Linked DNA regions of Anolis sagrei. The protein of the gene in region 1 interacts with the protein of each later gene in a pairwise test. Links are inferred from orthologs where the notes say so. Each region holds a gene or a part of one and is shown in the gene's direction. Other genes may lie near its edges.

Evidence for each region.
Region 2: the proteins of CDC42EP2 (region 1) and ARHGAP26 interact in binary tests that used the Homo sapiens proteins (3 or more experiments, as listed by UniProt). The two-hybrid records come from large-scale screens. The link is inferred for Anolis sagrei from reciprocal best matches to the Homo sapiens genes CDC42EP2 and ARHGAP26.

Annotation. Positions count from the first base shown.
Region 1 is NC_090032.1:10,713,871-10,731,226, reverse strand, and holds the start of CDC42EP2 (cdc42 effector protein 2), read left to right. Parts: upstream 1-8,662; 5' UTR 8,663-8,742; intron 8,743-17,356. UniProt on the Homo sapiens protein: Probably involved in the organization of the actin cytoskeleton. May act downstream of CDC42 to induce actin filament assembly leading to cell shape changes. Induces pseudopodia formation in fibroblasts in a CDC42-dependent manner.
Region 2 is NC_090022.1:95,718,520-95,735,613, forward strand, and holds the start of ARHGAP26 (rho GTPase-activating protein 26), read left to right. Parts: upstream 1-7,988; 5' UTR 7,989-8,506; coding exon 8,507-8,660; intron 8,661-17,094. UniProt on the Homo sapiens protein: GTPase-activating protein for RHOA and CDC42. Facilitates mitochondrial quality control by promoting Parkin-mediated recruitment of autophagosomes to damaged mitochondria.

The DNA of each region.
Region 1 (17,356 bases):
TGAAGAAGAGAAGGCTGAGAGGAGATATGATAGCCATGTATAAATATGTGAGAGGAAGAGGAGGGAGCAAGCTTGTTTTCTGCTTCCTTGGAGACTAGGACGCGGAACAATGGCTTCAAACTTCAAACTGAGGAGCAGCTTAAGGAGCTGGACATGTTTAGCCTGGAGAAGGCTGAGAGGAGATATGATAGCCATATATAAATATGTGAGAGGAAGCCACAGGGAGGAGGAAGGAAGCTTGTTTTCTGCTTCCTTGGAGACTAGGACGCGGAAGAATGGCTTCAAACTACAAGAGAGGAGATTCCATCTGAACACGAGGAAGAACTTCCTGACTGTGAGAGCCATTCAGCAGTGGAACTTTCTGCCCCGGAGTGTGATGGAGGCTCCTTCTTTGGAAGCTTTTAAACAGAGGCTGGATGGCCATCTGTCAGGGGTGATTTGAGTGCAATATTCCTGCTTCTTGGCAGGGGGTTGGACTGGATGGCCCAGGAGGTCTCTTCCAACTCTTTGATTCTATGATTCAGGTGATGGTCATCTCGAGGCTTGACTACTGTAACACCCTCTACATTGGTCTTCCTTTGTCAGTGATCTGGAAACTGAAGCTGGTGCAAAATGCGGCAGCTTGTCTTCTCATCGGGATGCCGGCGAGGTGTCGCATCACCCCAATTCTCCAACAGCTGCACTGGCTACCGATTGAGTACCGGATCACTTTCAAGGTGCTGGTACTAACCTTTAAGGCCTTACATGGTCTGGGGCCAGCGTAACTTGACCAACCCCCTAGCAACCCCAGAGATTACTCCGGTCTGAAGACCAAAATTTGCTTGAAGTTCCTAACATCTGGACTTATCATTTGTCATCTACTAGGCAAAGAGCTTTCTCGATCGTAGCCCCTTATTTATGGAATGCCTTGCCAGTTGAAACCCGAACTATCCGAGACCAACTTGCTTTTTGGAAAGCCTGTAAAACCTTTCTTTTCCGGCAAGCTTTTGACGGGTGAACAACCCGGACTATGCCTGTTCTCGCCGCCTATTGTTTTGTTATTGATATTTTAAGGCTGGTTGTGTTGTTTTGGTCTGCTTCTGTGAGCCTAGGACGTGGAGCAATGGCTTCAAACTACAAGAGAGGAGATTCCATCTGAACATGAGGAAGAACTTCCTGACTGTGAGAGCTGTTTAGCAGTGGAACTCTCTGCCCCGGAGTGTGGTGGAGGCTCCTTCTTTGGAAGCTTTTAAACAAAGGCTGGATGGCCATCTGTCAGGGGTGATTTGAATGCAATATTCCTGCTTCTTGGCAGGGGGTTGGACTGGATGGCCCATGAGGTCTCTTCCAACTCTTTGATTCTATGATTCTATGTGGACTGCTCTGGGCCGAGTTGGGAGTGGCGGTATGCAAGTTAAATGGATGGATGGATGGATGGATGGATGGATAGATAGATAGATAGATAGATAGATAGATAGATAGATTGATGTTGTATGTTTCTTGTTTTATTATGTACAGTTGGCTTGGGCAATCCATGGTTCTAAATGGTTCTAAAGTACTTACAAAAGGGCAATCCATGGTTACAAAATGGTTCTAAAGTTCTGGTGGTGAAAATTTCAGAACTCTAACAAAACTCTCAAAATTTCATAATAAATGGCAGTTCCTAATTGGTTCTGTCATTAAAATCACCAGTAATGAAATAATAATTAAATTTTGAAAGTTTTGTTAGAGTTCTCAAATTTTCACCACCAGAACTTTAGTTTTGTAAGTACTTTAGAACCATTTAGAACCATGGATTGCCCAAGCCTAATGTACAGAGTTCCTCCGAGCATGCACAGAGTTCTGTTTCCCCCAGCGGGTGAACCCCAAGTCGGTGACACAACCTGACATGTGATTTGCATGTCACTCTGTGCCTCTTTCCAGCCAGATCTTTCCCTTCATCGAAATGGTTGCTTATATAAACCAAGTGTGTTTTACAAACTTGGCAAGAAATTAATGCAAAACAGCTTTTGCTGGAAAGAGAATGATGACTTCCAGGGAAAGGAATTCAGGGGCTGTCGGGTTTCAGGAAAAAGGAGCGAGGAGGAGTTGAAGGCAAGGAGAATTAGAATCAGCTTTGGACCCAGGTTCGAATTCTTGCTCAGATGTGGAAACCCACTTGGTAACCTTGGGCAAGTTGTATGGCGGCTTGTTCACGTTGTTGCGATGTCTCCAAAGGGGGTTTCTATCGGGTTCAACTTGAGGCTGAGAGAGTGTGACTACACCAAGTGTCGTCGAGGGCATCCCGAATCGGTGCTCCTCCAAACCGCGGATACCGAAACCCCGAAAGGCCCCCGTATCCGCGATATGGCAGATTGTCTCCATTTTGATGGCATATTTTTCCTTGCTTTGGTGGGGTCCCAGGGTCTCTCCTCTTGGGCAGATTCTCCTAAAGTTCCTATCGACTTCACAAGTACTTCACCCACTATGCCATGCTGGCTCACTCCGTGGGATGCTTCACTGGGGGAAAAACAATCCATACAATTAGTCAATAATTATTTGTGACTCACGACCTCCAGACGCCAAAAAGCAGCTTGCCAATGTTGTGCTCCTCTTGAGGGTTTTCCACAGAGAGATTGCTTCACTTCCTCTGCAAATCCATTGCTGTTTTACCTCCCAGGATGTGTTTGTCCTATTCCTCCCTTCTTGTTGTTGTTTTTCAGGCTTCCTATTGCTGTGTTCCTTCCCGACTGAGCTGGTTAGATAGGTGGCAAATCCAGGTTTTGAACCATTTCCAAAAGAAGATCAGCTCTTTTATTTTGTGGCTTTATTTCCAGTTCCTTCCTTCTTTTCCCTTCTTCCTTTCCTTCCTTTGGCTTGCTTGCTTTCCTTCCTTTTGCCTCCCTCCCTCATTCCTTCATTTTCCTTCTTCCTTTTGCCTGCCTCCCTCCTTCCTTTCTTCTTTTTCTTCTTTTTTTATTCCTTCTTTTTCCTTCCTTGCCTTCCTTTTGCTTCCTTTGCTTCCTTTCCCCCTCCTTTTGCTTCCTTCCTTCCTTCCTTTTCCTTCTTACTTGCCTTCCTTTTGCTTCCTTTCCTTCCTTTTCCCCTCCTTTTGCTTCCTTCCTTTCTTCCTTTCCTTCCTCGCCTTCCTTTTGCTTCCTTTTCTTCCTTTTTCCCTCCTTTTGCTTCCTTCCTTTCTTCTTTTTCCTTCTTCCTTGCCTTCCTTTTCCTTCTTTTCTTCCTTCTTTTTCCTTCCTTTTGCTTTCTTCCTTTCTTCTTTTTCCTTCTTCCTTGCCTTCCTTTTGCTTCCTTTCCTTCCTTCTTTTTCCTTCCTTTCCTTCCTTCTTTTTCCTGCTTCCTTTCCTTCCTTTTCACTCCCTTCTTCCTTCCTTCCTTCCTTCCTTCCTTCCTTCCTTCCTTCCTTCCTAGCGTCATTTCCTTCCCTTTGCTTCCCTTTTGCTTCCTTCCCTTCCTTTTTTCTTTCTTCCTTTCCTTCTTTTTGCTTCATTTCCTTCCTTTTTCCCTTTCTTCCCTTCCTCTTACTTCGTTCTTTTTCATTCTTTCCTTCCTTCCCTTTGCTTCCTTATTTTCTTTTTCCTTCTTTCTCTTCCCTCCCTCCTTTATTCCTTCTTTTTTCCTTCCTCCTTCCTTTTACTTCCTTCCTTTCTTTTTCCTGCATCCTTACCTTTTCCCTTCCTCCCTCTTTCCTTCCTAGCTTCATTTCCTTCCCCTTGCCTCCCTTCCTTTTGCTTCCTTTCTTCCTTTTTTCCTTCTTCCTTTCCTTCTTTTTGCTTCCTTCCTTCCTTTCTTCTTTTTCCTTCCTCTTCCCTCCCCCCTCCTTCCTTTCTTTTCCCTTCCTTCTTCCTTTCCTTACTTTTGCTGAGAAGGAAATAAATAGAGAAGGAGGGAGAGAACGGAAAAAAGGAGGGGAAAGAAAGAAGGAAAGAAAAAAGAGGAGAGAAGGAGGGAGAGAAAGAAGGAGGGAAGGAAAGAAGGAAGCAAAGAAAGAAGGGTAGAGAAGGAAGGAAGGACAGGAAGAGGGAGAGAAGAAAGAGAGGAGGGAAGGAGAAAAGGTAGGAAAGAAAGGTAGAGAAGGGAGAGAAGAGAAAGGAGGGAAGGAGAGAAGAAAGGAAAGAAAGAAGGATAGAGAAGAAGTAGAGAGGGAGGGAGAGAAAGAAGGAGGGAAGGGGAGAAGGAAGGAAAGAAGCATAGAGAAGGAAGTAAGTAGAGAAGGAAGGAGAGAAAGAAGGAAGGAAAGAAAGAAGGATAGAGAAGGAAGTAGAGAAGGAGGGAGAGAAAGAGGGAAAGAAGGAGGGAAGGAAAGGTAGAGAAGGAAGGAAGGAGAGAAGGAAATAAAAAAGTGAAAGAGGGAAGGAAGGAGAGAAGGAATGAAAGAAAGAGGGAAGGAAGGAAGGAAAGAGACAAGGAAGGATGGAACCAAAGAGCAAAGGAAGCAAGAAAAGAAACAGGTAGAGAAGGAAGAAAGAAGAAGGGAAAGAAAAAGGGAAGGAAGGAAAGAGGGAGGGAAGGAAGGAAGGAAGAAGAGAAAGAAAGAAGGAGAGAAAGAATGAGGGCAGGTTGGCCACAGCAAAGCGTGGTGGGTACAGCTAGTCTATATAAATAAAAACGTAATGTTTGTTGTAGTTCACCTGTATCCAGAGAGCACTGTGGACTCAAACAATGATGGATCTGGACCAAACCTGGCACAGATACTCACTATGCCCAAATGTGAACACTAGTGGAGTTTGGGGAAAATAGAGTCTTGACATTTGGGAGTTGTAGTTGCTGGGATTTATAGTTCACCTACAATCACAGAGCATTCTGAACCCCACCAACGATAGAATTGGGCCAAACCTCCCACACAGGGCCCCCATGTGGGCCACAGCAACGCATGGCAGGGGACAGCTAGTAAATAAATAATAATAATTTCCTCAACAGAAAACACTTTTTGCCCCAAGCATTTTGGATCAGAGACAGGCCACCTTCACTGGGTTGTTGTAGGTTTTTTCGGGCTATATGGCCATGGTCTAGAGGCATTCTCTCCTGACGTTTTGCCTGCATCGATGTCAAGCATCCTCAGAGGTAGTGAGATCTGTTGAAACTAGGACAAAGGGTTTATATATCTGTAGAATGACCAGGGTGGGACAAAGAACTCTTGTCTGCTGGAGCTAGGCGTGAATGTTTCAACTGACCACCTTTTTTGTTTCTCCAGGCAAATGTCTTGTCCTTGCTTTCTCCTCCTTCGCCCTTCCCTAGACAAAGATCTTTGCTTTCCAAACCCCCTCTTTGCTTCTCAAAACAGATCCCATAGATAAAACCTGACCGAAGCCTCCAAAGAAACCCTCTGGGGTTTTCTTTTTCTTCAACCGGAGTGCCTGGCGGATGATGTCGCTCTTCCCCTAAATCAGAGGAATTCCACCTTGACACATTATTAAAATTATAGGCTTGGCTGGCTGTGCTGTCAGAGGAAAATGCAGGCCAAATATGGATTTTGATTTCCTCTCCGCTTGGATCAACACAAAGGAAAGCAGGGAAAGAGGTGGGTTACATCAGATGGGCTTGCATCAGAACGAAAACATGGCTCTTAATCATGGAATCCTAGAGCTGGAAAGAAAAACCCAAAGGCCATCCAGGGCAACCCCTTTCCGTCTTTGGAATATTAGCTATCCCTCCCAATACATACATATATACACACACACATATGAATATAAATAAATAAAAATGTAATGTTCGTTTGTGGGATTAACAGAACTCAAAAACCACTAGACGAATTGACATCAAATTTGGACACAAGATACCTAACAACCCAATTTATGTCCTTCACTAAAAAAAAAAATTGATTTTGTCATTTGGGAGTTGTAGTTGCTGGGATTTATAGTTCACCTACAATCAAAGAGCATTCTGAACCCCACCAACGATGGAATTGAACCAAACTTGGCACACGGTTCTCCCATGACCAACAGAAAATACTGCAAGGGTTTGGTGCACAATGTCCTTTGGTTTTGGAGTTGTAGTTCACCTACATCCAGCGATCACTGTGGACTCAAACAATGATGGATCTGGACCAAACTACATGAATACTCAATATGCCCAAATGTAGACACTGGTGGAGTTTGGGGAAAATAGACCTTGACATTTGGGAGTTGTAATTGCTGGGATTTATAGTTCACTTTCTGAACTATCACAGAGCTTTCTGAACCCCACCAACGATGGAATTGGGCCAAACCTCCCACACAGAACCCCCATGTGGGCCACAGCAACGCGTGGCAGGGGACGGCTAGTCTATATAAATAAAAATGTAATGTTCGTTTGTGGGATTAACATAACTCAGAAACCACTGGTCGAATGGACACAAAATTTTGACACAATACACATAACAGTCCAACGAGTGTCCACCACCCCCAAAAACACCCTCCCCCAGTGGAACAGACTTTAAAACCCAAAAAATACACCATATATACATATATACATACATTCATATACATATGCACATACACAGAGGCAGCCCTAGGTAATTTTCAACGGTAAGCAAACAGTATTTTGGCGCCCCCCCCCCCCCCCCCCAACCAATCACTGATCTATATTTTCTGTTCGTCGTAGGAGTTCTCTGTGCCATATTTGGTTCAATTCCATCACTGGTGGAGTTCAGAATGCTCTTTGATTGTAGGTGAACTATACATCCCAGTAACTACAACTCGCATATGTCAAGGTCTATTTTCCCCCAAGAGTGCCTCAAGAGCGCCCCTGGGCAACATCAACTATACTGCGAGTGCTTACTTTGCGTAATGGGTGAGCTGCCCCTGCACATACACACATTCATACACATGTATATATATGCACAAGCACACACAAATATACATATGTACACACACATACATATACATGCACACACACATAGATACATATACACAGGCACACACATATATACACAAATAAACACATGCACACATACATATACACATATACACATACATACATTCATACACACACATATATATATGCGCAAGCAAACACAAATATACACATACATAAATACATATACACATGCTCACATATATATGCATATACATACATGTATACATTCATACACATATATATATGCACAAGCACACACAAATATACACACATATATATACATATACACATGCTCACATATATATATATACATATACATACATGTATACATTCATACACATATATATATGCACAAGCACACACAAATATACACACACATATATACATATACACATGCTCACATATATATACATATACATAAATACATTCATACACACACGTATATATATGCACAAGCACACACAAATATACACACATACATACATATATGGTCAATAAAAGTATAATATATTAAATATAAACACACAATATATATATATAGTAATGAATGTTTTATACATACACATTTTCACTTTTATTACGTGTATATATTAAATATAAACACTCAATATATATTATATTATTATACAGATATATAGTAACTAATGTTCTATATCATGTATAATAAATGTAAACGCATTATATATTATATTATGCAGATATATAGTAATGTTATATATCTTATAAGCATAATATAATAAATATGAATATATAATAATATGTAATATGAAAATATAATAATGAATATATAATTATATAAAATAATATATAGTAAAAATTATGCATATATAGTCAATAAAAGTATAATATATTAAATATAAAAACTCAAAATATATTATATTATATTATAATAAATCTCAAAATATATTATATTATTATACAGATATTATATTATTATACAGATATATATTATATTATTATGCATATAGTAATGTTATATATCTTATAAGCATAACATAATAAATATGAATATATAATAATATATAATATGAAAATATAATAATGAATATATAATTATATAAAATAATATATAGTAATGAATTATGCATATATAGTCAATAAAAGTATAATATATTAATATATATATAAATATGAATATATAATAATATATAATATGAAAATATAATAATGAATATAAAATAATATATAGTAACAAATTATGCATATATAGTCAATAAAAGTATAATTTATTAAATATAAAAACTCAAAATATATTATATTATATTATAATAAATCTCAAAATATATTATTATACAGATATATATTATATTATTATGCAGATATATAGTAATGTTATATATCTTATAAGCATAATATAATAAATATGAATATATAATAATATATAATAGGAAAATTAATATAATATTATATTATTATAATAATATAAAACACACAATATACATATTATATTATTATATTATTACATATTATATTATTAGAATAATATAAACACACAATATACATATTATATTATTACATATTATATTATAATAATATAAACACACAATATACATATTATATTATTATACAGATATATATAGTAATACACATTTTCACTATTATTATGTCTATAGATTATTATTATTATTATTATTGTCAATATCCTTTATGGATCCCCAAAGATGGGTCCAAAGACAAGAGGATTCAATAGGAGTGAATCAGGGAGGTCAAGCCACAAAGCCCTTCCCTATGATGAAGCAATGTTGCAACATGCAAAACAAAAGGGGCGGGGATAGAACGCTGCCTAGCCAGCCGCGGCTTGGGATTGGTCCAGGGCTGGAGTGGGCGTGGCTTGGCGGTGGGTGGCAATCCTGGGCAGGCGGAGGGCGCGCCTTTTCTCTCTTTGGCGGCCGAAGGAAGAGGAGGAGGCGACGCCCAGGCCAGATCTGGGTGAGTATTCCCCTTGGCAAGGGCGGAGGAGGCCTTCAGGAACCCCATAGGCAGGGATGCAAAGCCTTTGTGGAGCTCCATGGGCGTGGCAAGTGTCAAGGTTTGGGGGTTTCTTAGCGTTGTGAGCCTGATATCTGCCACATGGCACTCTGGACATGCTCAGAAGCCTGGTTTGATGTTTTTAGGTCACTAAATAATAACAGTCTTTGGAAAAAGCACTTTGGACATGCTCAGGAGCCTGCTTTGCTGATTTTGGGTCTCTAAATAGGTACAATGGTTGGGAAGGAACACTTTGGACATGCTCAGAAGCCTGGTTTGCTGATTTTAGGTCACTAAATAACAATAGTCTTTGGAAAAAGCACTTTGGACATGCTCAGGAGCCTGGTTTGCTGATTTTGGGTCACTAAATAGGTACAATGGTTGGGAAGGAACACTTTGGACATGCTCAGAAGCCAGGTTTGCTGATTTTTAGGTCACTAAATAACAACAGTTTGCACTTTGGACATGCTCAGAAGCTGCTTTTTGGTCACTAAATAAGTACAGTGGTTAGGAAAGAACACTTTGGACATGCTCAGAAGCCAGGTTTGCTCATTTTAGGTCACTAAATAGCAAAAATCTTTGGAAAAGGGCACTCTGGACATGCTCAGAAGCCTGGTTTGCTGATTTTACGTCACTAAATAGCAAAAGTCTTTGGAAAAGGGCACTCTGGACATGCTCAGAAGCCTGGTTTGCTGCTTTTAGGTCACTAAATAGCAACAGTCTTTGGAAAAGGGCACTTTGGACATGCTCAGGAGCCTGCTTTGCTGATTTTAGGTCACTAAATAGGTACAATGGTTGGGAAAGAGCACTTTGGACATGCTCAGAAGCCTGCTTTGCTGATTTTGGGTCATTAAATAGGTACAATGGTTGGGAAAGAACACTTTGAACATGCTCAGAAGCCAGGTTTGCTGATTTTAGGTCACTAAATAACAACAGTTGGCACTTTGGACAAGCTCAGAAGCCTGGTTTGCTGCTTTTAGGTCACTAAATAACAATAGTCTTTGGACAAAGCACTCTGGACATGCTCAGGAGCCTGCTTTGCTGATTTTGGGTCACTAAATAGGTACAATGCTTGGTAAAGAACACTTTAGATATGCTCAGAAGCCAGGTTTGCTGATTTTAGGTCACTAAATAACAACAGTTGGCAGTCTGGACATGCTCAGAAGCCTGGTTTGCTGCTTTTAGGTCACTAAATAGCAAACATATTTGGAAAAGGGCACGCTGGACATGCTCAGAACCTGGTTTGTTGCATTTTGGTCACTCAATAGCAACTGTTTTTGAAAAAGAGCACTCTGGACATGCTCAGAAGCCTGGTTTGCTGCTTTTAGGCCACTAAATAGCAAAAGTCTTTGGAAAAGAGCACTCTGGACATGCTCAGAAGCCTGGTTTGCTGCTTTTAGGCCACTAAATAGCAAAAGTCTTTGGAAAAGGGCACTCTGGACATGCTCAGAAGCCTGGTTTGCTGCTTTTAGGCCACTAAATAGCAAAAGTCTTTGGAAAAGAGCACTCTGGACATGCTCAGAAGCATGTTTGGTGATTTTAGATCACTAAATAGCAAAAATCTTTGGAAAAGGGCAGTTTGGATATGGTCAGAAGCCTGGTTTGGTGATTTTTGGTCACTAAATAGGTATAATGGGTGGGAAAGAACACTTTGGACATGCTCAGGAGCCTGCTTCCCTGCTTTTTGGTCACTAAATAGCGACAGTCTTTGGAAAAGGGCGCATTGGACATGCTCAGAAGCCTGGTTTGCTGATTTTCGGTCACTAAATAGCGACAGTCTTTGGAAAAGTCACTTTGGACATACTCAGAAGCCTGCTTTGCTGATTTTAGGTCACTATATAGTGACAGTCGTTGGAAATGGGCACTTTAGACATGCTCAGAAACCTGGTTTCCTCCTTTGGGTCACTCAATACCAACAGTCTATGGAAAGGGGCACTTTGGACATGCTCAGAATCCTGGTGTGCTGCTTTTGGGTCACTAAATAAGTATAATGGTTGGGAAATAACACTTTGGACATGCTCAGAAGCCTGCTTTGCTGATTTTTGGTCACTCAATAGCAACAGTCTTTGGAAAAGGGCACTTTGGACATGCTCAGGAGCCCGATTTGCTGATTTTAGGACACTAAATAGTGACAATTTTTGGAAAAGGGCACTTTGGACATGCTCAGAAGCCTGGTTTCCTCCTTTGGGTCACTAAATAGCAACAGTCTGTGGAAAGGGGCACTCTGGACATGCTCAGAAGCCGGGTTTGCTGCTTTTGGGTCACTAAATAAGTATAATAGTTGGGAAATAACACTTTGGACATGCTCAGAAGCCTGGTTTGCTGCTTTTTGGTCACTAAATAGCAACAGTATTTGGAAAAAGTACTTTGGACATGCTCAAAAGCCCGCTTTGCTGATTTTAGGTCATTAAATAGCTACAATGGTTGGGAAAGAACACTTTGGACATGCTCAGAAGCCTGGTTTGCTGCTTTTTGGTCACTATATAGCGACAGCTGTTGGAAATGGGCACTTTGGATATGCTCAGACGCCTACTTCGTTGCTGTTATGTCACTAAATAGGTACAATGGTTGGGAAAGAGCACTTTGCACATGCTCAGAAGCCTGGTTTGTTGAGTTAATATCGCTAAACATTTCCAGTATTGGAAAAGAGTACTTTGTTCATGCTCAGAAGTCCATTTTGCCTCTATTATATCATTAATACATGTAATGGTTGGAAAAGATACTTTGTTATATGCTCAGAAGACACTTTTATATTGCTAAATAGTTACAAAGGTTGGAAAATTACGTTTTGTATATGTTCAGGAGCTGTTCAGTAGTGGAATATAATAATAATAAGTCCGGCAGAGTCTCCTTCCCTGGAGGTTTTGAAGCAGAGGCTGGATGGCCATCTGCCAGGAGGGCTTTAATTGTGTCTTCTTGCCTGGCAGAATAGGGTTGGACTAGATGGCCGCCTGGGGCCTATGAGACCTTTCCAGCTCTGTGATTAAGAATTGCACAATCGATCCTTAGATCCAAGATAACTAAGCTGAGTCTCCTGTACTTTGGACGTATCTTAAGATAATGCAACTCATTGGCAGAAAAATACACAACAACGTTAACAACAACAATAATAGGAAGAGGAAAACCTTAAATAAAGTATTATTATTATTATTAATTATTATTGTTGTTGTTATCCAATCAAGGAAACGACAACTGCCTTTAGTTTGCAAGAGACACAATCAAAGCTCTCTCGACAGATGGCCACTCAGCCTCTACTTAAAAACCTCCAGAGAAGCAGACTCCATCATCGTCGTCATTATTATTATTATTATTATTATTATTATTATTATTATAGAATCATAGAGTTGGAATGGACCCTCCAAAGGCCATCCAGTCCAACCCCATTCTGCCAGGCTGGAAGACACAATCAAAGCCCTCCCGACAGATGGCCATGCAGCCTCTGCTTAAAAACCTCCAGAGAAGCAGACTACATCATCGTCATTATTATTATTATTATTATTATTATTATTATTATTATAGAATCATAGAGGTGGAAGGGATTCCTCAAAGGCCATCCAGTCCAACCCTATTCTGCCAGGCTGGAAGACACAATCAAAGCCCTCCCGACAGATGGCCACTCAGCCTCTGCTTAAAAACCTCCAGAGAAGCGGACTCCATCATCATTATTATCATCAATTATTATTATTATTATAGAATCATAGAGGTGGAAGGGATCCTCCAAAGGCCATCCAGTCCAACCCTATTCTGCCGGGCAGGAACACACAATCAAAGCTCTCCCAACAGATGGCCACTCAGCCTCTGCTTAAAAACCACGAGAGAAGCGGACTCCATCATCATCATTATCTATTATTATTATTATTATTATTATTATTATAGAATCATACAGTTGGAAGGGATCCTCCAAAGGCCATCCAGTCCAACCCCATTCTGCCAGGCTGGAAGACACAATCAAATCCCTCCCGACAGATGGCCACTCAGCCTCTGCTTGAAAACCTCCAGAGAAGCGGACTCCATCATCATCATTATTATAAAAAAATATTATTATTATTATTATTATAGAATCGTAGTGTTGGAAGTGATTCCCCAAAGGCCATCCAGTCTAACCCCATTCTGCCAGGCTGGAAGACACAATCAAAGCCCTCCTGACAGATGACCACTCAGGCTCTGCTTAAAAACCTCCAGAGAAGCAGACTCCACCGTCATTATTATTATTATCAAATATTATTATTATTATTATTATTATTATTATTATAGAATCATAGAGGTGGAAGGGATTCCTCAAAGGCTATCCCAATCCAACCCCATTCTGCCAGGCAGGAACACACAATCAAAGCCCTCCCGACAGATGGCCACTCAGTCTCTGCTTAAAAACCACCAGAGATGCGGACTCCATCATCATTATCTATTATCAATTATTATTATTATTATTATTATTATTATTATTATTATTATTATTATAGAATCATAGAGGTGGAAGGGATTCCTTAAAGGCCATCCAGTCCAACCCCATTCTGCCTGTCTGGAAGACACAATCAAATCCCTCCCGACAGATGGCCACTCAGTTTCTGCTTAAAAACCTCCAGAGAAGCAGACTCCACCGTCATTATTATTATTATCAATTATTATTATTATTATTATTATAGAATCATAGAGTTGGAAGGGATCCCTCCAAAGGCCATCCAGTCCAACCCCATTCTGCCAGGCAGGAACACACAATCAAAGCCCTCCTGACAGATGACCACTCAGGCTCTGCTTAAAAACCTCCAGAGAAGCAGACTCCACCGTCATTATTATTATTATCAATTATTATTATTATTATTATTATTATTATTATAGAATCATAGAGTTGGAAGGGATCCTCCAAAGGCCATCCAGTCCAACCCCATTCTGCCAGGCTGGAAGACACAATCAAAGCCCTCCCAACAGATGGCCACTCTGCTTAAAAACCACCAGAGAAGCGGACTCCATAATCATCATCATTATCAATTATTATTATTATTATTATTATTATTATTATTATTATAGAATCATAGAGGTGGAAGGGTTTCCTCAAAGGCTATCCAATCCAACCCCATTCTTCCAGGCTGGAAGACACAATCAAATCCCTCCCAACAGATGACCACTCAGCCTCTGCTTAAAAACCTCCAGAGAAGCAGACTCCACCATTGTCATTATTATTATCAAAGATTATTATTATAGAATCGTAGTATTGGAAGTGATTCCTCAAAGGCCATCCAGTCTAACCCCATTCTGCCAGGCCAGAAGACACAATCAAAGCCCTCCCGACAGATGGCCACCCAGCCTCTGCTTTAAAATCTCCAGAGGAGATTCCATCATAATTAGAGATGATGATGATGATTATAGAATCATAGAAATAGAAGAGAACTTCAAAGGTGATCCAGTCCAACCTCTTTCCAGGCAGGAAGACACAATCAAAGCCCTCCTGGTAGATGGCCATCCAGCCTCTGTGTAAAAACCTTCAGAGAAGCAAACTCCATTATTATTATTATTATTATTATTATTATTATTATGCACATAATATTATTATGCACATAATAATAATAAATGTGAAAATAACTAACTTGGCACACAGAACTCCCATGACCAGCAAAACATACTGGAGGTCTTTGGATGGATTTATAGGAGTTGTAGTTCACCTACACCCAGAGTGCACTATGAACCTAATGATGGATCTGGACCAAACTTGGCATACATACCCGATATGCCCAAATTTGAATACTGGTGGGTTTAGAGGGGAATTGGCCTGGACATTTTGGAGTCGGAGTTACTGGGATTTATAGTTCACCTGCAATCAATGAGCCCTCTGACCTCCACCAAAATGGAATTGGACCAAACTTCGCACACAGAGTCCCCATGACCAGCAAAAAATACTAGAGGTCTTTGGCAAAAATTCACCTTGATTTGGGGGAGTTGTAGTTCACCTACATCCAAAGAGCACTGTGAATCCACACAATGATGGATCTGGACCAAACTTGGCACATGTACCTGATATGCCGACATTTGATTACTGGAGGGGTTTGTGGAGAACTGACCCTCCTTTCTGGGAGTTTTAGTTCACCCACAACCAGAGAAACTGAAACCCCCATTAATGAGGGACCTGGACGAAACTTGGCACACAGAACCTAGGTGAATTACTCAACCTACTGGAGGGGTTTGAGGGGATTGACTCACCATAGTGGGTCAATCATAACAAACAGTCATAGTAATCATAATAATGGTTTTCTTTCCAGCAATGTTTACTATTTCCTATGAGTATTTCGTAATATAGGTCTATAATCAATTGTTGTCATTCTTGGTAGGGATAAAGCAGCACTTCTCAATATGGGGGTCGGGACCCCTGCGTGGGTTGTGAGGTGGTGTCAGAGGGGCCACCAAAGACCATCAGAAAACACAGTATTTTCTGTCGGTTTGGAGGTTCTGCGTGAGAAGTTTAGCCCAATTCCATCATTGGTGGGTTTCAGAATGCTCTTTGATTTCAGGTGAACTATAAATCCCAGCAACTACAACTCCCAAATGTCAAGGTCTATTTTCCCCAAACTCCACCAGTGTTCACATTTGAGCATATTGAGTATCCGTGCCGAGTTTGGTCCAGATCCATCGTTGTTTGTGTCCACAGTGCTCTCTGGAGGTAGGTGAACTACAACTCCAAAATTCAAGGTCAGTGCCCACCAAACTCTTCCAGTATTTTCTTTCAGTCATGGGAGTTCTGTGTGGAAAGAATGGTCCAATTCCATTGATGCTGGAGTTTGGAATGCTCTTCGATTGTAGGTGAACTATAAATCCCAGCCACTCCCAAACGTCAATGTCTATTTTCCTCAATATGCCCCCATTTGGGCATATTGAATATTCGTACCAAGTTTGGTCCACATCCATCGTTGTTTGTGTCCACAGTGCTCTCTGGATGTAGGTGAACTACAACTCCAAAATTCAAGGTCAGTGCCCACCAAACTCTTCCAGTATTTTCTGTTGGTCATGGGAGTTGCCAAGTTTGGTTCAATTCCATTGTTGCTGGAGTTCAGAATGCTCTTCGATTGTAGGTGAATTTTAAATCCCAGCAACTACAACTCCCAAATGTCAAGGTCCATTTTCCTCAATATGCCCCCATTTGGGCATATTGAATATCCAGATCAGTTATTGTGTCCACAGTGCTTTCTGGATGTAGGTGAACTACAACTCCAAAATTCAAGGTCAGTGCCCACCAAACTCTTCCAGTATTTTCTGTTGGTCATGGGAGTTGCCAAGTTTGGTCCAATTCCATCGTTGCTGGAGTTCAGAATGCTCTTTGATTGTAGGTGAACTATAAATCCCAGCAACTACAACTCCCAAATGCCAAAGTCTATTTTCCTCAATATGCCCCCATTTGGGCATATTGAATATTCGTACCAAGTTTGGTCCACATCCATCGTTGTTTGTGTCCACAGTGCTCTCTGGAGGTAGGTGAATTACAACTCCAAAATTCAAGGTCAATGCCCACCAAACTCTTCCAGTATTTTCTTTTGCTCATGGGAGTTCTGTGTGAAAAGTATGGTCCAATTCCATCATTGCTGGAGTTCAGAATGCTCTTTGATTGTAGGCAAACTATAAATCCCAGCAACTACAACTCCCAAATGTCAAGGTCTATTTTCCTCAATATGCCCCCATTTGGGCATATTGAATATCCAGATCCATTATTGTGTCCACAGTGCTTTCTGGATGTAGGTGAACTACAACTCCAAAATTCAAGGTCAGTGCCCACTAAGCTCTTCCAGTATTTTCTGTTTGTCATGAAAGTTTCCAAGTTTGGTCCAATTCCATCGTTGCTGGAGTTCAGAATGCTCTTCGATTGTAGGTGAACTATAAATCCCAGCAACTATAACTCCCAAATGACAAAATCATAATCTTTTGAGTGATGGTCACTTCTTGTGTTGTGAGACGTTTCGTTGCCAAATTTGGTGTGATTTTGTTCATTGGTTCTTTTGTTTGTAAGGAACTCATTATGCACAGAGCATTTTTATATAGATAGATTATTTATATTATATTATATTATGTTATGTTATATTACAAGTAGCAGCCAGCAATGAAAGAACCAAGGCACTGACACCTCCAGCCCATCCTCTATTCGGTTATCAACCAGCAAGCCAATGCCTTAAATCAAGAAATAGCTTCTTAAGCTCTACAGAAATACTTGCAGGAACACCTCAGCAAGCAAGAGTCCAAAAGTGGCAGGCTGAAACCTGGAAACTCAATGAGTGGCTGAAATCGGATGAGAAACTCCTTCCTAGGCACACAGAAGACTCCCAAATGAGAAAATTAATCCCCCGCAACCCTACCAGGATTCAGATTTGGGTGTATAGAGTATTTGTGCCAAATTTGGTCCAGTGACTGAAAATACATCCTGTATATCAGATATTTACATGATGATTCATAACAGTAGCAAAATGACAGCTATGAAGTAGCAACAAAAACAGCGTTATGGTTGGGGTTCACCACGACATTAAGGGTTGAGAAACGCAGGGATAAAGAAATCACCAGCCGTGCTGTTTGGAATGTGAAAGTTGGCCGATTTGCAAGACAA
Region 2 (17,094 bases), on another chromosome or scaffold:
AACATCATCACCGTGGCTTCCTTGAGTGAATCTATCCATCTGGAAGGCTATCTTCCCCCTTTCCATCTACTGTAAAAAGCATTGATTTCTTTTCTAGTGAGACATGCCTTCTCATGATATAGCTAAAATATATCTACATATGTAGTTGACATTTTGTTACATTTGTAGTCATCTTTTTAACAGCTTGCTTTCACTACATTTAATTTTCATATCATATCATATCATATTTAATTTCTTATTAATCGCCCTCCATCCGAGACTGCTCTAGGTGATTTACAGCTAAATTGTAAAAGATAAAATACATACATACAGAAATTAAAAATTAACAGAGATCGAATGCTGTAGTATTGGTATTTTGTTGATAGTATAATCATAGTTTTAACACGAGCTGTTTCTGTTTAAACTTTGTAAGCTGACTTAAATCTTAGAAAAGGAAAAGATGGGATAATATAATATATAATAACCAGAACTTTTAATTGGCTGGAAAAATGTAAGATATAGCCAGAAAAGCTGTTGCTGTAAGAAACTGGTATGTTCTATGTAATATTCCTTGTTCAATCACTTGGCTGCAGTATTTTCAGGTCACTGAACATTTGGAACCTTTTCCGAAGGTTTCCTCCACTGAGCATATCACAGCAACCCAAATGGCACACAACTAAGGCACGTTTCCATGGCCAGATCAGACTTCTCTAGCAGTACTTTCAGCTGGCACACTAGCTGTGGAAACATATTTGTGACCACTGTTGAAACCATAGCATCCAGGCTAAAGGCTCAATCCAGCAGTGCACACAAGCCCAAAAGCAGAGTTTTCAGGGGAGTATAGTCTCTATTCCTACTCTGTGATATGATTTTTCATTTACCAGGGGCTCTTTTAAGGAGTAAACAATCCCATCCAGTCCACTGGTTCACAACTAGAATTGCTTATTTGAATTTGGGTGGAAAAGCAAAATAGAGTTGGATGTCTTCTCTATACATAGTGGCATTCTAAGAATATGTAGATGGTAAGTATTTTACTTGCCAATTGGCTGGCATAAAAGCCCTACTTGAATATATTCTTGAGAATGCATTCAATTAAATTGCTAGAGTGATTATTTTTTCTTGCATGCTGCCCTGAGATTCTGTGATAGAATATAAAGTCAGGTGACAACAATGCACGGCCCAGCTCTCTGCATAAATCAAAAACGCAATTTATAAATTGTCCTCTGTAATGTTCACAGGCTCCATGATTGATTAATTGATGCGTACACAGTAGTGTCAAAAGAAGAAAGTTTAAAATCCCACTATTTATTAAATATCTCTAAGAATATTTTCTGCTTGGAAGCTGGAAGCAGAATTCTGATATAGCTACACGTTCACGTTTCTTTTATTTAATCATTACAGATGGAGATCACTTGGTCTTTTGGTTTATCAGCAAGTGAAAATCTTCATATTCTGCTAAAGATTTAAAAATTGATTGCAAGGATTTTTAATAGTGTACTATTTTACTGATTTTAAACTGTCTTTAATTAAACTTACTTCTACAAAATAATTATTTTAAAATTATTTTAAATATATATTTCAAATGGTTTGGTATGTTTTCAGTCTGAATTGGTTTTAATAATCTGTAAGCCAGCCACTTTGAGTCCAAGGATCATTAGAAAAAAATAAGCTGTAATGCTATTATTAATAATAATAGGCTGCAGGCCATGTTTTCATTTATTTTCCCTTTCTTCTTTCTGCTGGAAACAGTTAAGGTCTTTCATCACATTAATAAATGTCAAGATATCAAAGCATGAGTTTGAAGCCAGTGCTATAAAATAAATGCTGTGCTAATTGGTTTAGTCACTAAACCAATGAAGGCAGCCTTTAGTGGTTCACAAAACCTTTGAGGGATATCTGTTTCCTCAGCAGCTATTCCCAGGTTTCAGTCTTCGATAACTGACATAAAAGATTGAAGGGATTTTCCCTATGTGAATTAAGACTTAATATTGAAGGTAAGGTCTTCACAATATAAAAAATACGTCTTGAAAATAGTGCTGCATCCTTCTTTCAGTAGCTGACCTCTTATCTGCTCCTTTGGACCATACAATGAATTCATGGCTAATTAATCTTTTAAAATACATCACATACACTCAGAAAGGAGTAAATTATGATTTACAGAGAAAGACAGGTTTCATTGTGTCTTTTGCTAAAGGAAAACAATGCTTATTGAGGGAGAGTCAGCTAGGCAGAGGATGTGGAAATCTTTTTCTGATCACATAAACTTTCTTCTCCTGGCTAAGTTGCCACAGTGCTGCCATCTCAGAGAATTCTGAAGGCAAGTAAACAAAAACTTGGAATATTGTGGGCCATCAAGTATGAAAACCCCAAGGTATTTACTTGACAAAATTTGTTCAGGAGAGAGTTGCCTTTGCCTTCCATGAAGCGGAGAGTGTGTGACTTGCCCCAGGTCACCCAGTGGGTTCCACAGCTGAGCAGGGATTCGAACCATTCTCCTAGAGCTCTAGTCCACCACACTGGCTCCTAAGATTGGAAGATGTTTCACGTGCTTATGATGTGGACTTGCACATTACTAGTGGGGAAATGATAATGCTGTGGACCACCCTGAGTCCCCTTCGAGGTTGAAAATGGTGGTATACAAATACCGCAAATAAATAATAAATAAATAAATAAATAAATAAATGCATTGTGTCTTAATTTGTCATAGTGATCATTGGGGCTATATCACACTAGTTCCCTAGGAATGTGCAATTGCTCTTATAAAGATAGAAAATGGATGAGAACCCACTTCAGGTGTATCTAGACAGTAGAATTAATGCAGCTTTACACCACTTTAACGGTCATGGCTTACTGCCGTGGAATCATGGGAGCCGTAATCTTACAGGGTCTTTAGCCTTCTCTGCTCAAGAATGCTGGTGCCTCACCAAACTATAACTCTCCATTATTCCATAGTTCAATGGCAATTAAAGTGCTGCCAAACGGCTTTCATTATGCAGTGTAGGTGCACTCTTCCACTCAGCAGATCAAATAATGCCTAGCAGAAGCGGTAATTCTGTTCTAATTTCTCTTTAAAGTGTGGTTCATGACACAATTACTTTCTTGGTTTCCATTTCTCTGGAGCCATTCATGCCTTCCTGTTCCTATGTGAACAAGTAGATATTATATAGGCTTTTGGTTCCATGAACCTGTTGTGTACTTGTGCTGGATTCCTTTGGACTTTGTTTCCACTGTTGCAATGTAGAGATATGAGAATTAATGTTCCTTTTGTGAGTCACGGCATCTTTTATTATATTTTCCTTTTCTTGTCTTGATTGTGATTCTGTCTTCCTCACACAAGTCTTACTCCAGACATATGATAGATTTGGGATGTAAGAAAATAAGGTCTTAAATTTGGGACAGTGAGAATTTGCTGGGCCATGGTTAAAGAAAAAGATATGATACTGCTTGTGTGTGCAATATGACTCAATACGACCCTACAATAATGTAGTTGGTTTTAAATGCTTATTTATGTTTTATTTTATAGATGGTTTATGTGTTATTGCTTTTAATATGTTGTAAAGATTTATTATCATCATCATTATTATCATTATTTATGTGTGCAATTACTAGCAAAAGGCCGTCATTTGAGAGATACAATGGAACATAAGTACATTTATTAAAAGACAGTAATGCTAAGTTTGTCCATCTGCTTCAAAGACAGTAACATATTACCTGAAGCAACTAATGCCTTAATTTCATGGCATTTATTTAATCTGGAAGAGCTAATCCTAAACACAGATGGGAGGCTGATCAGAAAAGTAGCAATATGATAAACAAATTCTAGCATTATTATTAGAAGTGCCTTACAATAGTTTCCTGATCACGCTACAATAGTGACATTATTTCAACTACAACAATGACATTATTTCAGCTTCTACAATGTTTCACGTTATAGACTAGAAAGATAATAATTTCTGATGTAAAACGTGACAAAACCAACTCGCTAACCCTCCTTCCCAAGTTTCAATCTACCATAACATAAACCCTAGAAATGGGGATTTTCAGGGTTGCCATCTGGTTGTCCTTGGTCAGTCTAGTCTGTCTCTCTGTCTTGGTTATGAAGATTCATTTTTCTAAATGGACAGCTTTAAATACGCTTACATTTTAATCTGTTAACATGTATGCATTAGTTATGACAAGGTTCTTCCTAAAATCATATCTGCCTACATCTGTGTCAAGCATTCTAACGCTATTATTTATTATTGGGATTGGGAAAATCTTATTGTGCTAGCCAACAATTTTGTTGTGGCTGTTGGTTCATAATCCCTTTGTTGTGGTATTTGCTGGCTTATAGCCCAAGACGACTGGCTATTTTTTTTAACTGATGGGAGGTCATGACCAAAGCATGCCCCTTGATATCCCCATTGATCAACAGTATCTAGCAGAGCACTGTATTGTGTTGCTTTTTATGCAGGATGATGATAACAACTACTAAAGCAATTATCAATATAACTTTCATGGAGGCAATAATAAAAGAAGACATTAATTTTTACAAAAAATGTAAATTACAAAACTAATATGTAAAATGCTATTTAAAAATGCATAGATAGTTTTACACTAGGACACTTATGAGGCCCCTTCCACACTGCTGTATAAAATCCCACATTATCTGCTTTGAATGGGGTTATATGGCAGTGTGGACTCAGATAACCCAGTTCAAAGGCAGTGACATCTCTGGCCCATGCATTGTTCGGATATCAGCTAGCACGCCAATGTCCTAAATCAAGAAACAGTTTTCTAAGATCTACAGAGGTACTTGCAGGAAAGCCTCAGCAAGTGAGAGTCCAAAAGTGGCAGGCTGAAACCCGAAACTCAATCAGTGGCTGATACCAAATGAGAGACTCCCATTACTTAGGGAGCTGCAGTATGTATAACAATATTATGATCTACAGTGGGTCCTTGGTATATCCACTAGGATTTGGTTTTAGGGAAAAAAACCTCCCTCCATACTAAATCCATGGATACCCACTCTTATTATATACAAAGGCATAGTAATGTGTGTGTGTGTGATATATATGGTGAAAGCAAGGCTTGCTTTTGGAGAATATTCCCAGATTCATGGTTGCACAGCGCATGAATATATTAATATTTTAAAAACTAGATGTTTACTTTTCATGTAGCAACTCTGACCTGAATTGTCCCTCTCCAGGTGGCTTTTTGAAAAAGGTGAAAGACTATATAATATCTAGTGTGGGATTCAACATCCAGAGTGGCCCAAGATACATATATGCATAGGGATGCTAAGGCAAAATCCCAAATGCCAAAAAGCAATGAGTGATTTCTAGGCAATTGTCTAGGTGCATTGGAAAAAATAATAAAGATGAAATAATAGGATTTAAGGAACGGAAAGCGAAATATAAGTGACACGTATAAGTTGACTACAATAAAAGTGGCCAAAGTTCACCAGCAATTCTCTCTGGAGAAATCATGAGCACAAAAGCGATAATGTGATGTGGTGCTCTTCAGGAGAAAACTACGCTGACGAAGCTAGAAACCGCCAGAAGCAGAAATGGATTTCTCAAGTTGGTTTCCTGGTAGGATATGCAAGGCACAAGGAGCTATGCCAGAGGGGAAAGGGAAATGTTGTATGCAGAGTGGCCTGTAAAGCCCCTTACACAGCCACTCTGACAGCTAGTATAGCAGGCATGGGCAAACTTGGGTCCTCCAGGTGTTTTGGACTTCAACTCCCACAATTCCTAATAGCCTCAGCCCCCCTTCCTTTTCCCTTTCTTTTTCTGCTTAAGTGTCTGTGGGGGAAAAGGAAAGGGCCTGAGGCTGTTAGAAATTGTGCGAGTTGAAGTCCAAAACACCTGGAAGGCCCAAGTTGGCCCATGCCTGCAGTATAGTATTATATAGCAGTTTGAGTGTTGTGCTAAGACTCTGGAGACCAGGGTTTTTAATCTCCACTTTTGAAATCCACTGTGTGACCTTGGGCAAGTCGCACTGTCTCAGCCACAGAAAACCATAGGTGCATTTACACTGTTGGAATGAATGCAGTTTGGCACCACTTTAATTGTCATGGCTCAATGCTATAGATTCCTGCAAATTGGAGTATCAAGGCCTTTAGCCTTCTCTGGCAAAGTGCACATGTCTCACTAAACTATACCTCCCCGGATTCCCTATCACTCAGCCACAGCAGCTAAAAGTGGTACTGAACTACATTCATTTCACAGTGTAGATGAGGCCCGGGCAAACGTGGATCCTCTAGGAGTTTTGGATTTTAACTCCCACAATTCCTAACAGCCTCAGCAGCTGAGGGGGAAAAAGAAGGGACCTGAGGCTGTTAGGAATAGTCAGACTTGAAATCCAAAACATCTGGAGGGCCCAAGTTTGCCAGTGGCTGGTGTAAAAGAGACCCCACATGAAAGATTCACATTAGGGTTGCCATAAGTTGGAAATGACACATCACATTTTGCTAGATGCCAGGATTCCAGTCCACGCAGGGAATTAACCCAAAATTATTTGCTGCCTGAGGGGGGGCTCAGCCCCAGTCAAGCTTACCTGTCCAAACAGATCTCTTCCTATGAACCATTGTCCGAGAAGGCCCTGCTCTTTGCCCTGTCTCCTTCGCAGATGTGATTGGAGGGGATGAGAGACAGGGCCTTCTCAGTGTTTGTGCAATAAATAAAATGGAATTATGTGCAATGACTATTAGAATGGCCCAGGCTATGACTTTGGATAACGTGGTTAACAGGGAAGGCATTGTTTTATATGTTTAAATGTAGTTTATAATTCTATTTGCATGTTTGTTTTGGAAGGCATCAAATAGTTGCCTAAGTGTAAGCCACCTTTCTCCTCTAGGATGGAGAAAGGTGGGGTAAAAATGTTGCAAATAAATAAATAAGGTGCATAGCACACACATTTAGCCAAGGTTGACGCAAGTGCACTGTAGAATGAATGCAGCTTGCGGGGAGGCAAATTTAACTAATTTACGAGGCCATAAAAATTTCCAGCAAGCATGCAAAGAATGAGGAAGTACTTCATCAGTGCCACAAATGGTTGGTGAAGCGACAGCTCCCCTGGTGGCCAGAATACCCTCAAGAAAAGCTGGAATGTTAAATTGCCTCTGTGTCTGTCTATATATGTTGTGTGTCTATAGCATTGAATGTTTGCCATGTATATGGACATTGTAATCTGCCCTGAGTCCCCTGCGGGGTGAGAAGGGCGGAATATAAATACTGTAAATAAATATATCCTGAGAGTTGTAGTTTCACAGACTTTAGCCTTCTCCACCAAAGAGGGCTTGTGCCTCACCAAACTACCGCTCCCATGACTCCATAGCATTGAGACAAGGCATTTAAAGGGCCTCATCACAGTAAGAGAGAAAAAAACACTTAAAATCCAGTTGCTGCCTCCTGCAGAATTCTGGGGTTTGTAGTTTAGGGAGGTGCTTTTAACAGCCGCACTAAACTACAAACCCCAGAATTCTGCAGGAGGCAGAAACCGGATTTAAAGTGGATTTTCTTCTCTAGTGTGATGAAGATAAAGGTGGGGTCAAACCGCAGTATAGATGCACCCAAGAACTATAATCACAATGCGTTTCATGACACCCCAAATTAGCTGCGTCAATAAATGCTAAAGCTAGGGGAGGGGGATGACGTAGTGATCTCATTCTCTCACACCACCCCCCTTTTAAAAAGGGCACTGATTTCTGAGATCCCCCTTCTGTGCTTCCCGTTACTTCCCTGGGGAACCTGTTGCCGCGTGCTGGCGGGCGCGGCAACAGGTTCCCCAGCAGCAGCAGCAGCAGCAGCAGCAATGCCCTTGAGCAACCCTTCCTTCCTTCCTTGGGAGGCGGCGTCTTTAAGAACCGCGGGCGGGGCAGCGGCTCCATGCGGTTTGACATGACGCTGGCCACGCCCCTTCGCCGGGTCTCTCCCTTTTGCTTCAGAGCAGGCGAGGCGCTCATTGGCTGCGGCTGGCGCAAGGGGCGGAGCCACGTTCGGAGGAAGAAAAAAAAAACACAACACTCTCTCCCCCTCCCCTCCCTCCCTCCCTCCTTCCCGCGACGTTCCAATGGTCGGAAAGGGCTCTGTGGCGTTCCAATGGGGAAGCGGAGTGTCCCGCTTTGAGCCCGGATGCCGACGGGCGGAGATGGCTGCGGCGCTGTGAAGGGAAGCCGCTTCTGCACTGCTGCTGCTGCTGCTTCCTCCTCCTCCGCCCTTTGCATCTCCAAGGGAAGGGAAGGGAAGGAAGGGGACTCTTGCACCAGCAAGCCACCGCAATGGGGAGCCGCGCCCCCGGAATGCGAAGCGTGTCTCGGGAGTGAGCTCCGGCCATGAGAGCGCCTTTGCCCTCGCCCGCAAGCCTGGTGCGAATCCTGCGCCTCTTTGGTTCCCCAGCCTTAAAGGAACAGGCTCCTTGAATCAAGGACATTTCTTCTCAGCCTTTGCCAATCCTGAGCATCTTTTGCACTGGGCTGTTTGTTGACTCTCCAGATCGTAACATTGTTCTCAGCCTCGCTTTGGAGGGTCCCGGGGAAGCAGCCATGGGGCTGCCCGCCTTGGAGTTCAGCGACTGCTGCCTGGACAGCCCCCTTTTCCGCGAGAGGCTCAAGTCCCACGAAGCCGAGCTGGACAAGACCAACAAGTTCATCAAGGAGCTCATCAAGGACGGGAAGACCCTCATCGCGGCCCTCAAGAGTGAGTGGAGGAGGAGGAGGGGAGGGGGGCTAGGGTTAGGGGGCGTCCCAATCCGGTAGGGGAAACCTCCAGCCAGGGCTCTGTCCTGACCCAAAAGGCCTGGTGCCAACAGGGTTTCCCATTAGCAATGTCCATAGACAGAGAGGACTCTTGGATGTGGGAATTCCCTTGCATACAATACATTGTGGTCTCGCCAAATGTTATACTACAGGCTGAGTATCCTTTATTAGATATATATATATATATATATATACATATATATATACACACACATATACATACACACACACACACACAATAATAAATATAATAATAATAAATATAATATTGATATTATTATATTAATAAAGTAATAATTATATTAATAATATGTTCATAGAGATATAAATATAGAATCATAGAGTTGAAAGAGATCTCATGGGCCATCCAGTCCAACCCCCTGCCAAGAAGCAGGAAAATCACATTCAAAGCACCCCCGACAGATGGCCATCCGCCCTCTGCTTAAGAGCTTCCAAAGAAGGAGCCTCCACCACACTCCGGGGCAGAGAGTTCCACTGCTGAACAGCTCTCACAGTCAGGAAGTTCTTCCTCATGTTCAGATGGAATCTCCTTTCCTGTAGTTTGAAGCCATTGTTCCATGTCCTAGTCTCCAGGGCTGCAGGAAACAAGCTTGCTCCCTCATCCCTATGACTTCCTCTCGCATATTTATTTATGGTGATCATGTCTCCTCTCAGTCTTCTCTTTGGAAGGCTAAACATGCCCAGCTCTTTAAGCTGCTCTCGTAGGGCTTGTTCTCCAGACCCTTTATCATTTTAATCGTCTTCCTCTGGACACATTCCAGCTTGTCAATATCTCTCTTGAATTGTGGTGCCCAGAATTGGACACAATATTCCAGGTGTGGTCTAACCAAGGCAGAATAGAGGGGTAGCATATTATATAATAATATAACATAATAATTATTATATTAATAATGTAATTATTATATTAATAATAAGAGATATACATAGAGATATAAATATAATATAATAATATAATTGGGAGCCCCCAGTGGCGCAGTGGGTTAAACCGCTGAGTTGCTGAGCTTGTTGACCGAAAGGTCACAGGTTCGAATCTGGGGAGCAGTGTGAACTTCCACTGTCAGCCCCAGCTTCTGCCAACCTAGCAGTTTGAAAACATGCAAATGTGAGTAGATCAATAGGTACTGCTTCAGCGGGAAGATAACAGCACTCCATGCAGTCATGCTGGCTACATGACCTTGGAGGTGTCTATGGACAACGCTTAGCTAAGAAAGGGAGATGAGCACCACCCTCCAGACACAATTGGACTTAATGTCAGGGGAAAACCTTTACCTAATAATATAATTATAATATAAATAATATAATTTGTATTATATTATTAATAATAAGAGATATACATAGAGAGATCTTGGATATTGGAATCTCCTTTTATACCAGGCATGGGCAAACTTGGGCCCTCCAGGTATGTTGGACTTCAACTCCTGCCATTCCTGACAGCTTCAGGCCCTTAAGTGGCTGAGGGGGAAAAGGAAGGGGCCTGTAGATATTAGGAATGGTGGGAGTTGGAGTCCAAAACACCTGGAGGGCCCAAGTTATCCCAGGCCTGTTTTATACAATACAAGACATAGGCGCACTTTGACCCTCCAGGTGTTTCGGACTTCAACTCTCACCATTTCTAACAGCCTACCTGCCTATGCTTATACAAAACATTATGGTCCCTCCAAAGGTTTAGTATTCTTGACTCAAAATGCTTTGTTTTTCACTTTGCGTTTTTCCCTTCCAGATTTAGGAATATCTGTATGTGCATATTATATACACGTAATGAGGTATCTTGCAGGTGGGATCCAAGTCTCAACATGTTGCTCATTTATATTCCATGTACACCTTATACTCATAGAGTAAAGGTCATTTTATACACAGTACTGTAAATAATTTTGTGCCTGAAACAAAGTGGGTTTATACTGGACCATCAGAAAGCTAAGGTGTGCCAATTTCAGCCATCTATCTGGGTAGTTTTGAGTTTGGGGATTCTAGAATAAGGGGTGCTCAACCTGTCCCAGAAGGACTCTTGGAAGCTCATCTCTGAAAGTTGCTGTGAGTTTTCCGGGCTGTAGGGCCATGTTCCAGAAGCATTCTCCCCTGACGTTTTGCCCACATCTATGGCAGGCATCCTCAGAAGTTGAGGGGTCTGTTGGAAGCCAGCCAAGTAAGGTTTATATATCTGTGAAATGTCCAGGGTGGGGGAAAGAACTCTTGTCTGCTAGAGGCAAGTGTGAATGTTGCAAGTGGCCACATTGATTTGCACCAAATGGCCTTGCAGCTTCAAAGCCTGGCTGGTTGCTGCCTGGGGGAATCCTTTGTTGGGAGGTGTTCGCTAGACCTGATTGTTTCTTGTCTGGAATTTCCCTGCTTTTTGCGTGTTGTTCTTTCTTTACTGTCCTGATTTTAGAGTTTTTTTAATACTGGTAGCCAGATTTTGTTCATTTTCATGGTTTCTCCCTTTCTGTTGAATTTTAGGGTTGTGGATTTCAGTGGCTTCTCTGTGTAGTCTGACATGGTGGTTGTTGGAGTGGTCCAGCATTTCTGTGTTCTCAAATAATATGCTGTGCCCAGGTTGGTTCATCAAGTGCTCTTCTGTGGCTGACTTCTCTGGCTTTTCATTCGTGTCTGGGCACTGCTGCATTTGGTGGTCCCTGTGTAGACTTGTCCACAGCTGCATGATATACGGTAGACTCCTTCAGACCCCTCTACCTCTGAAGGGCTTGAAAAGAGATGGGTCAAACACACAGCAGGAGGAGAAAATGGGGCAGGTGAATGCCAGTCGATGAACTCAGCAAGGGAGATTTGTATTCCAAAGTTCACATCCATATGTCTTTTGGCAATGGCGATGCCCAGGTGTTGGGAGTCGATAATGCCACTTAGAATGTCATGCCATTCTTAAATACACACACTCTCTCTCTCACAAAAGCAGGCTGGCTGTGTACCATCAGGTTTTGCACTTTGGGTGTGTCATTTCAAAACACCTTGGCTATTGTTGGCTGTCTGTCTCTTCAGTATTCGTGGCCCAGGAGTCTTTTGTGAAAGTGAAAGACCTCTTTGAAAACAGCCAAAGGTTGAAACCGGAGATGTGCTTCTTGTTACTTTCAGACTGTAGTTGGATTTCAACACTGCGGCCCTTGCTGTTGCCTTTGTTGGCTGGGGCTGATGGGAATTATAGTTCCAACATCTGGAGGCCATCGGGTTGTACACCTGTGGCTTATAGGTGGGGTTGTTCATTTCAAGCAATTCTGTTTATCACTGTCTAATGCTTGAGCAAGGTGCTTCCCTACTTTGTAATTTCCCCCTTGCAGGATGTTGTGGAGGACTGGAGGAAAGAGTATCAGGAAAACACAATTTCATTCATTGCTTGGAAATTCCCTTGAAATCCTTCACTTAAGGACATTTGTTTTCGTACGCCTGGTTTTACCTTAGTGACAAAGGATAGGAACTTGCGCAATAGGAGGGTAATCTTGCGAGTTAGGTTTAGATAGATTAATGCTTGGGAAATCTGAGAAACTGTATCACCTGGTTCCTTTGGTTAGAATGTATATTATGTATTTGCTATAAGTGTGAATTTATTTATTTATTTACCCTATTTATACTTCACCTTTCTCAACCCCATATGGGACTCAAGGCAGCTTACATATACAGGCAATGATTCGATGCCACGTAAACATACATACATAATAAAATAAACATATATATTAAAACAATCATTAAAACATATCAATTCTTAAGACACTTATTAAACAGTATACTATTAAATAGTGTAACTTTAATACCAATGTTTGACGTAACATGGTAATCTGTCATGGTCACCAAGCAGAGTCGTAGCTGAACTCTTAATGACTGCTGCCCTTTCTCTTTGACAGTCTGAAAGAGTTTGAATTCCTGATCGTGAGATGCAAGTTACATGCATGTCTGCTAAAAAGCAGCTCATTGTAAAGCTGACCAATACCATGTGTGTGACAGATAGCCAGCGGTTTTGTTTGCTTCCCTCTGTTTGTGAGCCAAAGGCAAATAATTGTCACTCTCGTGATGTGCTCTTTGAAAGAGTTAATTGTATTAAACAAGCCTTGAGGGTCTTGTCTGCCTCATCAGTGGTGTTTGTGCTCATTTGTCACTGGTGATAATACACAGCAGTCTTGGGAAAGGGGGTGAGTAAAACAAGGAAGGCATGTCTACCTATCATACTTGCTTAGAGGACCAAGTGATAGAAACAGTTACCTTGCAGACAAAGTATTTATCATGTCAGAAGTGAATTGAGAATATAATTATAATGTTTAAAAACCTATAAAAAGGTTAAAAGCTTAGCATTATACTAAATTTCCTTTGACCGGAAGCTGGCCACTTGGAGTGCCTCTGATGTCGCTGTAAGAAGGTCCCCCATTGTGCATGGGGCAGGGCTCAGAGTGCATTGCAGTAGGTGGTCAGTGGTTTGCACTTCTTCACACTTGCATGTTGGGAACTCCACTTGGTAGCCTCATTTCTTAAGATTGGCTCTGCATCTCATGGTGCCATAGAGCAGTCTGTTCAGCGCCTCCCAAGTTGTCCAGTCTTTTGTGTGCTCATGAGGGTGTTTCTCATTTGATCTCAGCCACTGATTGAGGTTTTGGGTTTCAGCCTTCCACTTTTGGACTTTCGCTTGCTGAGGTGTTCCTGCGAGTATTTCTGTAGAGCTTAGGAAGCTATTTCTTTATTTAAGATGTTGGCATGCTGGGTGGTAACTGAACAGAGGATGGGCCGAAGATGTCAATGCCTTGGTCCTTTCATTTCTGGCTGCTACTTCCTGATGGATGTCAGGTGGTGCGATGCCGGCTAAACAATGTAATTTCTCCAGTGGTGTGCGGTGTAGACATCCTGTGATAATGTGGCATGCCTCATTCAGAGCTACATCCACTATTTTAATGTGGTGAGATATGTTCCACACTGGGCATGCATATTCAGCAGCAGAGTAGCAAAGTGCAAGGGCAGATGTCTTCACTATGTCTGGTTGTGATCCTCAGGTTGTGCCAGTCAGCTTTCATATGATGTCATTTCTAGTGCCCACTTTTTGCTTGATAGTCAAGCAGTGCTTCTTGTAAGTCAGAGCATGGTCCAGAGTGACTCCCAGGTATTTTGGTGTGCTGCAATGCCTCTTTGAGATTCCTTCCCAGGTAATCCTCAGAGTTCTTAAGATGAAAAACACATGTCTGTGTTTTAGATGGATCAGGAATCAGCTGGTTTTCTCTGTAATAGGCAGTAAGAGCACCTAAAACTCCGGAGAGCTTCTGTTTGACCATTTCAAAGCTCCCTGTTTGAGTGGTGATGGCACAATCGTCAGCATAGATTAATCATATGTGAAATTGGGAGGGCACATTTTGGCCTATTGAAGCTGTGTTCAACTTTGCAGGAGACCCAACTGTTCTGTAGCCAACAAAAAGTTTCTGGGAAGTTTTATTATTGGGTATGAACTCTATTCCCAAAGGAGATTAGCTGCTTAGTATAGTTTACTTTAGGCCATAGTCTTTTATTCACTGGGGGGTTGTGCCTTTGAACCTATTGGGAGTGCTTTTTATGATTAGACTGTATGCAGGCTTTTCCCTTTGTTTCCTTTTCAACCGTCTTCACATAGCCTGAGTTTTATCCTTTGATATGTGTATGCTTACATATGAGTAGAAAAAGATTAGAACTGTTAATGAGTATGACTTCTTTATTGGGGCAGAAGTACAGTGTGAACAGAAGGCTATGCTGTGCATCTTTCCACCATGTGTATTTTTTCTGAGTGTGCTTCACTTTTTGCTTTGATACATTTATTAGTTCTATGGGATACCAGCATGTCTCATTCTTGTCTGAATCTCAGAGTGGGGCAAGAGTAATTCCCTGCTTCAAATCCAAACGTGCCAAGAAATTCCTATGATAGGGTTGACTTAGGGTTGCCATAAATCGGAAATAACTTGAAGGCACACAACAACAACTAAGGGAAAGTATAGCTGTTTCCTCAGTGGGCATTTATTTCTTTCAGTTGTTGTGAATAGCATGGCATCACAGAATTGGAAGTGACTCCTCGGCCATCTAGTTGAGACTCTTAGGTAAGGTAAAGGTTTCCCCCGACGTGAAGTTCAGTCGTGTCCAACTCTGAGGTGTGGTGCTTGTCTCCATTTCTAAGCCAAAGACACCTCTAAGGTCCATAGACACCTCTAAGGTCACGTGGCCAGCATGACTGCATGGAGTGCCGTTACCTTCCCACCGGAGCGGTACCTATTCATCTACTCAAATTTGTATGTTTTCTAACTGCTAGGTTGGCAGGAGCTGGGGCTAATAGCGGAAGCTCACGCTGCTCCCTGGATTTGAATCTGATTTGAACCTGCGACCTTTCAGTCAACAAGCTCAGCAGCTCAGCGCTTTAACCCACTGCGCCACTGAGGGCGCAGTTGAGACTCTTACCAATGCATAAATCCATGGTTAAAACATCCCTAACAGGTGACCTTCTATCTTCTGTTTACAAACCTACAAGGAAGACTCCATCACTTTCTGTGGTAGTTTATCTCACGATCAAACAGCTCTTAGTGTTTACTCTTTGAATGCTTATTGTGTTTTTTCATCTGGAAAATAGTTTATAGTATATGTGCCAATAGACTGAAAACAAGATGCATGTAACAATTTTGAAAGTTTGCAGACATGCCTTTGCTTTTGGTGCATGTGTAGTTTGATGCTTAGATTCTGAATCACTATATATCCAGTGTGAAGTTATATTCTTATATATTGGGTTGGCCCTATTCATTTGACTAGGTAATACATGAACAGTGTGAATGGGATTGGACATAATATTAAAACGTAATCCTGGGTAATAAGAACAAGCTTTCTTGACCCCCCCCCCCCCCAAGGTGACCCAAGAGAGAGAGAGCTGGGAAGCTTTCATTTTGATTTTAAATGAATTAGAATTTAGTAGAAACAGACCAAATTCAAATTAGTGTTTTGTCTTTATGTTTGTAGGTTTAACTTTTACAGATTTGATTTTTTGTTCAACATCTCCACCAGAAGTTGCTCATAAAGTCAAACTGAAGAGAGCTGTTCTCTCCTGTGTGTGTGTGTATTCATGCTTCTACTCCTTTCACGGGGGTCCTGCCCTCCTAATCCCAATGAATGTATAGACTCTCACTATAAAACTGACATCTATTCACAGATTGTAGTTAATATTAACCACAGGTTGGGATGACACACAAAAATGTGGTTAACCTGAATGCAGAAGCTCCTGATCGGAGAGGAGAAGTTGTGAGTCTTGAGTTCTGCCCAATGCAACCACTATAATGATAATCAATATAGAGATCACAGCTATCCAACACTAATCATATCTGGCTATTACTGTATTGGCACATTTATATGACTGTGACAACTGATATATTATAATAAGATAGATGGCAGACCAGTGTAGAGGTTTGAGTGCTGGACTAGAACTCCAGACAGTGTTCAGAATCCCACTCAGTCATAGAAACGCATTGAATTCCTCAGCAAATCAGATTCTCTGAGTCAACTTGAAAAAATACAACAATAACAATACGCTCAAGTGCAATACTTGGCTTATCAAGTGATTATGCACAACTTCACTAGCTCAAGTCATACCAGACCAATCTGATCTCTTTTTTCAACAGAGTTACAAGCTGAGTAGATGCAGGGAATGCAGTGTATGTAGCGTATCTGTATTTCAAACAAACTAGTCAAATGTGGGTTAGGCAAAACTTTGGTTGGGTGGATCTGTAATTGGTTAAGTGAACGAACCTAAAGGGTGCTCAGCAATGCTTCCTCTTCATCCTGGAAAGAAGTGACGAGTGGAGTGTGGTGCAAGAAGGGGGCTGACGGAGGACGAAACTGTATGGTTTCATCCTGGGCCTGGTCATGTTCAGTATCTTTATTAATGACTTAGATGATTTAGATGAAGGGTTAGAAGGCATGATCATCAAGTTTGCAGACGACACCAAATTTGGAGGGATAGCTAATCCCTCAGAAGACAGGAGCAGAATTCAAAACAATCTTAACAGATTAGAGATATGGGTCAAAACTTAGAAAATGAACTTCAAAAGGGACAAATGCAAGCTACGCTAATTAGGCAGAAAAATGAAATGCAAAGATACAGAATGGGAGACGCATGGCTTGAGAGCAGTATGTGTGAAAAAGATCTTGGAGTCCTTGTGGACAACAAGTTAAACATGAGCCAACAATGTGATGCAGCGACAAAAAAAGCCAATGGGATTTTGGCCTGCATCAGTAGGAGTATAGTATCTTGGTCAAGGGAAGTCATGCTACCCCTCTATTCTGCCTTGGTTAGACCACACCTGGAATACTGTGTCCAATTCTGGGCACCACAATTGAAGGGAGATATTGACAAGCTGGAGTGTGTC